2 linked regions of the Macaca fascicularis genome follow. The protein of the gene in region 1 interacts with the protein of each later gene in a pairwise test. Links are inferred from orthologs where the notes say so. Each region holds a gene or a part of one and is shown on either strand. Other genes may lie near its edges. The genes, in order: NMT2 and ACBD6.

Region 1 (4,330 bases):
CATTTTGCCTCACAAAGAGTTGCAATTGTTAAAGGCAATATTGTATTTCCTTTTGTGTTTGGCCCCATTTGCCCTTCTTACAGAATTTTAGTTGTGTCAACGCCAAACAGCTGATGGACTTTGAAATCGCTCTGCAATTTTCATCTTTTGATACTTCTAGCTCATTGCGTTTTAAAAACTTAGTCTCCCTTGGGGAAAAAAGCCATAGAATGCTCCTAGTATCTTCTGCAAATAAAGGACCTACACCAAAAAATTCAGGCTCTTTAAAGTCTCATATTCCTCACTGAGCGGGTTCTGACGACTCTCTTTGCAAAACCACCGCACAGACTTCTGGTGGCCTGGCAGCACCTTTGAACAAGATCATCTCAGCAAAGCAAAGGACAGGGCTGCTCTGTACAGAATGCAATAGCAAATAAGAAAGGCTGAACTTCACCGGCCTTCTATTTGGCAATACTACAGAGTGCCTCCCTTCCCTGTTCTGAGAGAAACAGAGGACGATTTCAGCACAGAAGGCCGTGCGCGTTCGCTTGGAAATCTAGGTCACAACCTTGACTTTGGGAAAACCAGGGTGGCCTACCTGAAACTGTCCAATCCCCCGGCATCGTGGACACGTCCCCATGTCCCTCAAGATGTCTGTTCTGGTCTGAGCCGTCCGTAGTGTCCAGGAAAAGCACGGGTAGCTCAAGAATTTCTCTGTCAAGAGTTTTAGTGCTGCAAGCCTGGTTGGGACAGGGCGGTGGGAGGGTTTGAAATACTGTTTTGACTTTGAATTTGATTTTATAATGTATTAGATGGATAGATGCGAAATGGATTGTTAACATGTATGTGGAGGGGCGGGAAGAGCTTCTGGAAAGCCTCAGCCCTGAGTGCCTACTCCTGAGTGGGAAAATTCCCTGCACGGGTTGGGAGCGCTCCCTAAGTCGTCCGGAAGTAAAATCGCATGGCCTGTGTTCCAAAAATGCCGCCACTCAGGATGTCAAGTCTGCAGGTTTTCAGCCTTGAGAGCCCAGCCCCAGGTAGAGGCACCGCGCAGGCCTGGATATACAGGACTCGCCCTGCGCAGGGCTGGCCACGGTGGGCAGGGTTGGAGCTGGCGGGGCGGGGCGGGGTAGGGCGGGGCCAGCTGGGAGGGGAGGGGCGGGGTTAGAGGGCGGGATTGAGGCCGGCCGGGCGGGGAGAGGCGGGGCTGGAGGGGAGGGGCCTCAGAGGTGGGCGGGGTTAGAGAGCTGGATTGAAGCCGGCAGGACGGGGAGAGGCGGGGCTTGAGGGGAGGGACGAAGAGGTGGGCGGGGTTCAAGAGCGGGATTGAAGCCCGTGGGGCAGGGCGGGGCCGGCGGGGCGGGGCGCAGCGCCAGGGCTACGACTCCAAGCAGTACGGCGGGCGGCACTAGAGGGAGCTGCGGCCGCGCCCGCCCCGCCGCGCGGGCCCGGCCCCGAGCGCCGCCTCCCCAGCCAGCGCCGCCGCGATGGCGGAGGACAGCGAGTCTGCGGCCAGCCAGCAGAGCCTGGAACTGGACGACCAGGACACGTGCGGGATAGACGGAGACAATGAGGAGGAGATGGAGCACGCCAAAGGGTAGGGGCGGCGCGCGGGCGCACCGGGAGCTACAGGGCGGGGACCGCGCGCGCCAGGGTCTCTCGCTCGGGGGCTGGCTCCCAGGAATGGGGGCTCTTCGGCCGCTCCGCCCCGCGATGGCTTCTCCGCGGCGCGGAGCCCGTGGTGAGGTCCGGGGCTCGCGGGAGAGGACAGTGCGCGGGGAGGCGAGGCCCGGGGTGGGCGGGGAGGCTGGGGCCCGGGCGGGGACCGGCGACGCTACTGTCACCTGCCGTGCGCCCCCGGCCGGCCTCGCCCATCCCCGCCGGCGGCCTGGCCCAGGAGGCGCGTGTTGCCCTCGCCCGCGGGTGGCTCCGGTGGGCTCCGAGGGAGAGGCGCGACGCCCTGCCCTTTGTGGCGGCCGTAGCCTGGGGTAGGAGGTCGCCCTCTTCTGCCCCCTGCCATCCTTGTTAAGTCCCTTCAGACCCCCTCTCCACGGCCGCCACCCAAAAAGAATGGGCAAAGACGTGGGTGGAGCGGCATGGAGGTGCCCCTGGTGGTGTCGGGGCTGCGGGCGGCGAACTGCGCAAAGTTCTGGCGCGGAGGGGGTCCCGGGCCCGGCCCCTGCTGGGGATACTGGGCTTTGCACCGCCTCGCGTGTCCCTACAGCTTTTCAGAGCAGGGCCGATCCCCTGAGCCGGGCTCTCGCTGACCTGGCCGCATCCCGTTTGCAAAGCTAGTATTTGATCTCCAAAACTCGATGCACCAAGCATTTTCACACTTGATCGGGTTTCTTAATCCTTTGCCTTTGCCCCCGAACCCTACAGACTTGATTTGCTCTTCTGTTGGAGAAAAGGATTGCTTCAGGTGAAGGCCGGTGTTGATGCTCTCTTTTTAGAGGCAGTGGGTCATTTTACATAAAAACTGGTGTCCTTTTAAAGTGCTGTTTGCATTACCCTTTTACCCTATTGGATTCAAACTATGCGCTGGCACAGAGCGGTTCTTGCTACACCCTTAGAAGTGAGATTTTTCGAACCATGGTGAGTGATGGAGAAGTGGGTCAGCTTAAAAAACATGATAGGGAGGCCTGAGTCACAGATGGTTTACTCAGTTCGTAGAGAGATTCTTGAAATGATTGATCATTGAAAGTGTAAATCATTTGCATTCTACTTGTTTACTTTAAGATTTATTAAAGAAAGGGACTTTTTACTGACCTCTAATTCATTATAAAATATTAACAAGAAATCAAGGAAAAGAAAAGCCGACTATGTGCATCTCCCATTTGCAGGTTGTTTTTATTTTTGCCGTGAATACTTCAGTGGCGGCTGCAAGTATCGAATGTTCGAGTCTAGAATATTTTTTTTTTTTAAAGAGAGGAAAGGAAATTGCGCAGAAATCTGAACCTGAACTCTGTTTATGCAGGGATACAAACGTACTTGTAATAGATAGCTAAATACAAATATGTTTTTGAAACGGTAGTTCTAGTGCCAGAAATGGGCCCAGGTGCAGATGCAAGCTGACGGATTAACTTAAGTACCTGTATTGTCTTTCTGGAGAGACCCTGGATTTTTATCTTCTCTGCTGTAATTCCTGTTTATTGTTCCTCCTTTGATTGATATTCTGGGTTGGGGGCTTGATTAGGACTTCTTTGCCTACACTGTTGAGAATGTCCCTGGTACAAAGAATTCCTCATCTGTGTGCCCATTGATCTGAGCCTGTCCCCTGACACCTTTCAAGCAGCTAAAGTTCCCAGAGTAGCACCCAGAGGCATCTCTGCTGCCTTCAGAAGTTTTCAGTTTTGTATATCAGCACATTCATTATATGTTAGAAAGTTTATCAAAATTTAGAGATGCCGCGTGTACTGAAATGTTTAAACCAAGAGCAGATACCATGTTAATAGCTTCTAGTGGGAAAAGATTAACATAATAGATGTATTGTACTCTATTTAAATGTAAGGAGATTAGGAAAACTCCAAATGACTGCTCTCCTTGGATTGCCTGTTTGGATTTGAATTTAGACAATGTGTGCCAAATTTGGGGGAGTAAATGTGTTTTATTTGGCTCATGTACTGACGATATCGCAGTGGAAACCTAGGTTTTCTTTAAGTAGCTCAAGTTTGTAAATGTTAAAATTTCAAAGACTCTTTTTCTATCCTTGGCCTCTTCATTCCCATCAGTTTAAATAAATAACAAATAATGAGCCTTTGGATGAATTAGTAAGAACATGTTTCACCTTTTAAAGGCAGTTTGTCAATTTGAGGCCACCAGGCAGCGGCCAGTGCAGAGCGGTAATTTACTGAATAGTACTCTTGTGGCCTGAAAGAATTCATTTACCCCACCACTCAGTATAATGTATTTACTAGTCGTCTTAGACATACTAAATTGAAACTAGAGCCTCAAATGAAAGGAAAATACCCGGCCGGGCGCGGTGGCTCAAGCCTGTAATCCCAGCACTTTGGGAGGCCGAGACGGGCGGATCACAAGGTCAGGAGATCGAGACCATCCTGGCTAACACGGTGAAACCCCGTCTCTACTAAAAACACAAAAAATTAGCCGGGCGAGGTGGCGGCGCCTGTGGTCCCAGCTACTCGGGAGGCTGAGGCAGGAGAATGGCGGGAACCCGGGAGGCGGAGCTTGCAGTGAGCTGAGATCTGGCCACTGCACTCCAGCCTGGGCGACAGAGCGAGACTCCGTCTCAAAAAAAAAAAAAAAAAAGAAAGGAAAATACCCAATTAGAGTCTTCTTGTGCTCCAGAATGTAAGTATGTAAATATATAAAACTGCATATGCTTTTATTT
Region 2 (3,813 bases), on another chromosome or scaffold:
ATGTGCCACCGTTCCCAGCTAATTTGTGTATTTTTATTAGAAACGGGGTTTCACCATGTTGGTCAGGCTAGTTTCAAACTCCTGACCTCATGATCCACCCGCCTCGGCCTCCCAAAGTGCGGACATGGGTTTTTTTTTGTTGTTTGTTTGTTTGTTTTGTTTGTTTTTTTGATTTTTTGAGATGATGTCTGGCTCTGTTGCCCAGGCTGGAGTGCAGTGATGGGATCTCAGCTCACTGCAAGCTCCGCCTCCCAGGTTCACGCCATTCTCCTGCCTCAGCCTCCTGAGACATGGTGTTTTTAATGGTGGTTAAATATGACTAAAGTGGTATTATTTGCAGCTCTACTTTTTAAAATCAGAATTTTCTTTTCTGGGGTTTGGCCTCACTTCTTATTTTCTTTACAGAATAAGATCAAAAAAGCATTTTCTCTTCCGTTTAACAGGGCCTCTTCAAGTGACCATATAGACCTATTAAACATGATTTCTTACTTAAAACCTACTTCATTTTCTCTAGCTTGAAGCAAGTTGTTTCTCCTTTCTTTTCTTGTAGTCCTTGTTAAGGATTCAGCTTTTATGTTAATCCTGTGTAGATTTGTGTCATCCCAACTATACTGTTTGTGTCTTAAAGGCAAACTTTCTTGCTTAGCCTTGTATCTGTTATCAACAAATTCTTGTCCAGTGCCTTACATGTAGTAGGTGCTCAATAAAATACTTCAGATGCTTAAAGAATGCTTAGATGGCTGATGCCAAAGTAGTGTCTTTTAAGAAAATTAGCTATGACTGTATATGGCACAAGATGTTTAGATTGGCTTTTAAGATATAAGAACTCCGATGACCAGGTGTTTTGCTTTCTGATGAATGGCTGCTATGGCATTGCAAGTCATAAAACACATTAGTTTGACTTTTGGAACGGAAAATGCATTCCTTTATACTTGTTCATAACATTCAGTCCACATATGGGGCAGTTTGATTGTTAATATTGTAAATTACTGATCTTTATGGGAGTCACTGATTTTTTTGAGAATCTGATTGAAACAGTTCTTCCCCCTGTACATACAACAGCCAGAAAAATGCACCTGCATTATAAAGATAATTCTGTACATTATTTAGAGAGCCCATAGATTTCATGTTAAGAACTTCTGCTTCAGATTTTGGAATAGACTGCAGCTGATTAGTCAAAAGGCAGCATAATATAATAGAAAAATGTACTATATACAAAATCAGTTGATCTAAGTGAATTCTAGCTCTTATTCTACCTTTGATAAATGTAGTACCATTTGGCAGGTCATTTAATGTCTCCTTTTTGCCTGTTTCTTCATTTGTAAAGTGAAGTTGTTGGATGAAAGATTAAGTGAATTAGCACATACAATATACTTAGAAGAGTGCTGGGTATGTAGTATGCTTCCCAGCTTTTCTTTCTAGTCTTTGATTCTACTATCTTATAAAGGATTTCTGAATTTTTTAATGCCGTCCTCTTTTTGTCTAATTGATTTTCTTTGCTTTAAGAAAATAACTTTCATGTATATTTTAAAAACTTGAGTAACAATTTATTCTCTTATCCTGTAAGGCAAGTGGGAAACTAAGAACTTTAGTCTTTTCAGGAGTTGGATGTATTACAGCTACTGAAAAACTATTACTGTTCATGTAAATTTTTTTTTAAACAGAGTCCATTAACATCTATGTCAGCAGCAAACAGATTGTGTTGAAAATATGTAACTTTTTTGTATTACCCAGTAAGAAAAAGACCTTTCTTTTTTTTATTCTAGGGAAGAAGACAAAAATATATTTGATTACTGCAGGGAAAACAACATTGACCATATAACCAAAGCCATCAAATCGAAAAATGTGGATGTGAATGTAAAAGATGAAGAGGTATGTAAAACATGCCCTGTTAATTATTTTCCTATGGTTGTTCTGCCCCAGTGCTTTTTCCTAAATGGTAGGCCAATGAACTACAACTCAAAGTACAGCATGGCTAAGAGTATATCAGAATATCTAAATGAGATGCTGTTACCTAGTTAAGATATGTTCTGTGATTGTGTCAAACATATTTTTATCTATGTTTTAGAAGTTACTACCTGAAATTTGTAGGAGTCTGATAGCTTCCATATGTTTATGCTAAAGAGAGAGATTATTAGCATAATAAGTGAAATCTACAGGTAATAGCAATATCTCATTTATAAATAGCTTTCTTCTGTTATTATACCTTGAACAGCTAGGTATATTGTTCTTTGCTCAATAAATGTATCTCTAGAAAACTGTGTCCGAATTTTGGTAAATCAATAATTTAAATGCTGGCCTACTAATTAAAGGAATCGTATAGTAAATTATTTTATAAAATATATTACTTCTTTTTTTTTAGAGAGAGATAGGGTCTCACTCTGTTGCCCAGGCTGGAGTGCATTGGTGCACTAATAGCTCACCGCATCCTCAAACTCATGGGCTTATGCAGTCCTCTTGCCTCAGCCTCCCAAGTAGCCGGGACTACAGGCATGTGTCATCACTCCTGGCTAATTTTTTAATTTTTTGTGGAGATGGGGTCTTGCTGTGTCGTCCGGGTTGGTGTTGTCCTCCTGATCTCAAATGATCCTCCTGCCTCAGCTTCCCAAAGTGTTAGGATTATAGGCATGAGCCACTGTGCCTTGCCTATTACTTCTTAATTTATTTGTGTTGTGAATAATACCATTCACAAACTGAGTTTTAACTGACCCTGCATTATAGTTGTTAACAAAGAAGCAACATTTACTAATTTACTTCTAATCATTTTCTCATTCTTTGGTGATGCTGTGAAAGATTACTGAAATGGCCAAAGGTAGTAATTGTTAGGAAGAAAGCATTGAGTGATCATAGATAATCTGTAGAATAGATAATAATTAACTTATGTGTAATTCAGAGCTGCATATATAAAAGGTTAGCCCTTAATATTGTCTCACCTTTCGGCAACATCTCTCCTGTGATAATATTGTCAGTGGCATCTGGAATTGAAAATGTAAGACTATGATACTGCACAAAGGGACTAGTAATACTATGTGGTTTTCATTAAGTAAACAAAATAATACCAGGTCTTCTGATTCTAACTGGGTTTGTGGTTTTTGTCTGTTTGTTTGTTTTTTGCCTTTCAGAATCAAAATACAGGCATACCTCTGAAATATTGCAGATTCAGTTCCAGACTACTGCAGTAAAGTGACTATTGCAATAAAGCAAGTCACATGAAATTTTTGGTTTCCCAGTGCATATAAAAGTTGTGTTTACTGGGTGGACACGGTGACTGATGCCTGTAATCCCAGCACTTTGGGAGGCTGAGGCGGGTGGACCACAAGGTCAGGAGCTTGAGACCAGCCTGGCCAACATAGTGAACCCCATCTCTACTAAAAATACAAAAAAAAATTAGCCAGGCATGGTGGCGGGTGCCTGTAATCCCAGCTACTTGGGAGGCTGCAGTAGGAGAAATGCTTGAACCTGGGAGGCAGAGGTTGCAGTGAGCCGAGATCGCACCATTGCACTCCAGGCTGGGTAACAGAGCAAGACTCCATCTTAAAAAACAAACAAACAAAAAAGTTGTGTTTACACTCTACAGTCATCTATTAAGTGTAGAGTAGCATTATATCTTTTAAAAAGTACATACTTGAATTTAAAATACTTTATTACTAAAAAAATTCTGACAATCATCTGGCTTGCCTTCAGCAAGTCATAATCTTCGTGGGGCAAAAGGTCTTGCCTCAGTGTTGATGGCTGCTGACTGATCACAGTGGTAGTCACTGAAAGTTGGGGTGGCTGTGGCAATGTCTTAACATAAGTCAGCAGTGCAGATAG

Evidence for each region.
Region 2: the proteins of NMT2 (region 1) and ACBD6 interact in binary tests that used the Homo sapiens proteins (3 or more experiments, as listed by UniProt). The link is inferred for Macaca fascicularis from reciprocal best matches to the Homo sapiens genes NMT2 and ACBD6.

What each region holds. Positions count from the first base shown.
Region 1 is NC_088383.1:16,080,682-16,085,011, reverse strand, and holds the start of NMT2 (glycylpeptide N-tetradecanoyltransferase 2), read left to right. Parts: upstream 1-1,389; 5' UTR 1,390-1,466; coding exon of another isoform or gene 1,467-1,548; coding exon 1,549-1,576; intron 1,577-4,330.
Region 2 is NC_088375.1:37,897,420-37,901,232, reverse strand, and holds part of ACBD6 (acyl-CoA-binding domain-containing protein 6), read left to right. Parts: intron 1-1,766; coding exon 1,767-1,872; intron 1,873-3,813. UniProt on the Homo sapiens protein: Binds long-chain acyl-coenzyme A molecules with a strong preference for unsaturated C18:1-CoA, lower affinity for unsaturated C20:4-CoA, and very weak affinity for saturated C16:0-CoA. Does not bind fatty acids. Plays a role in protein N-myristoylation.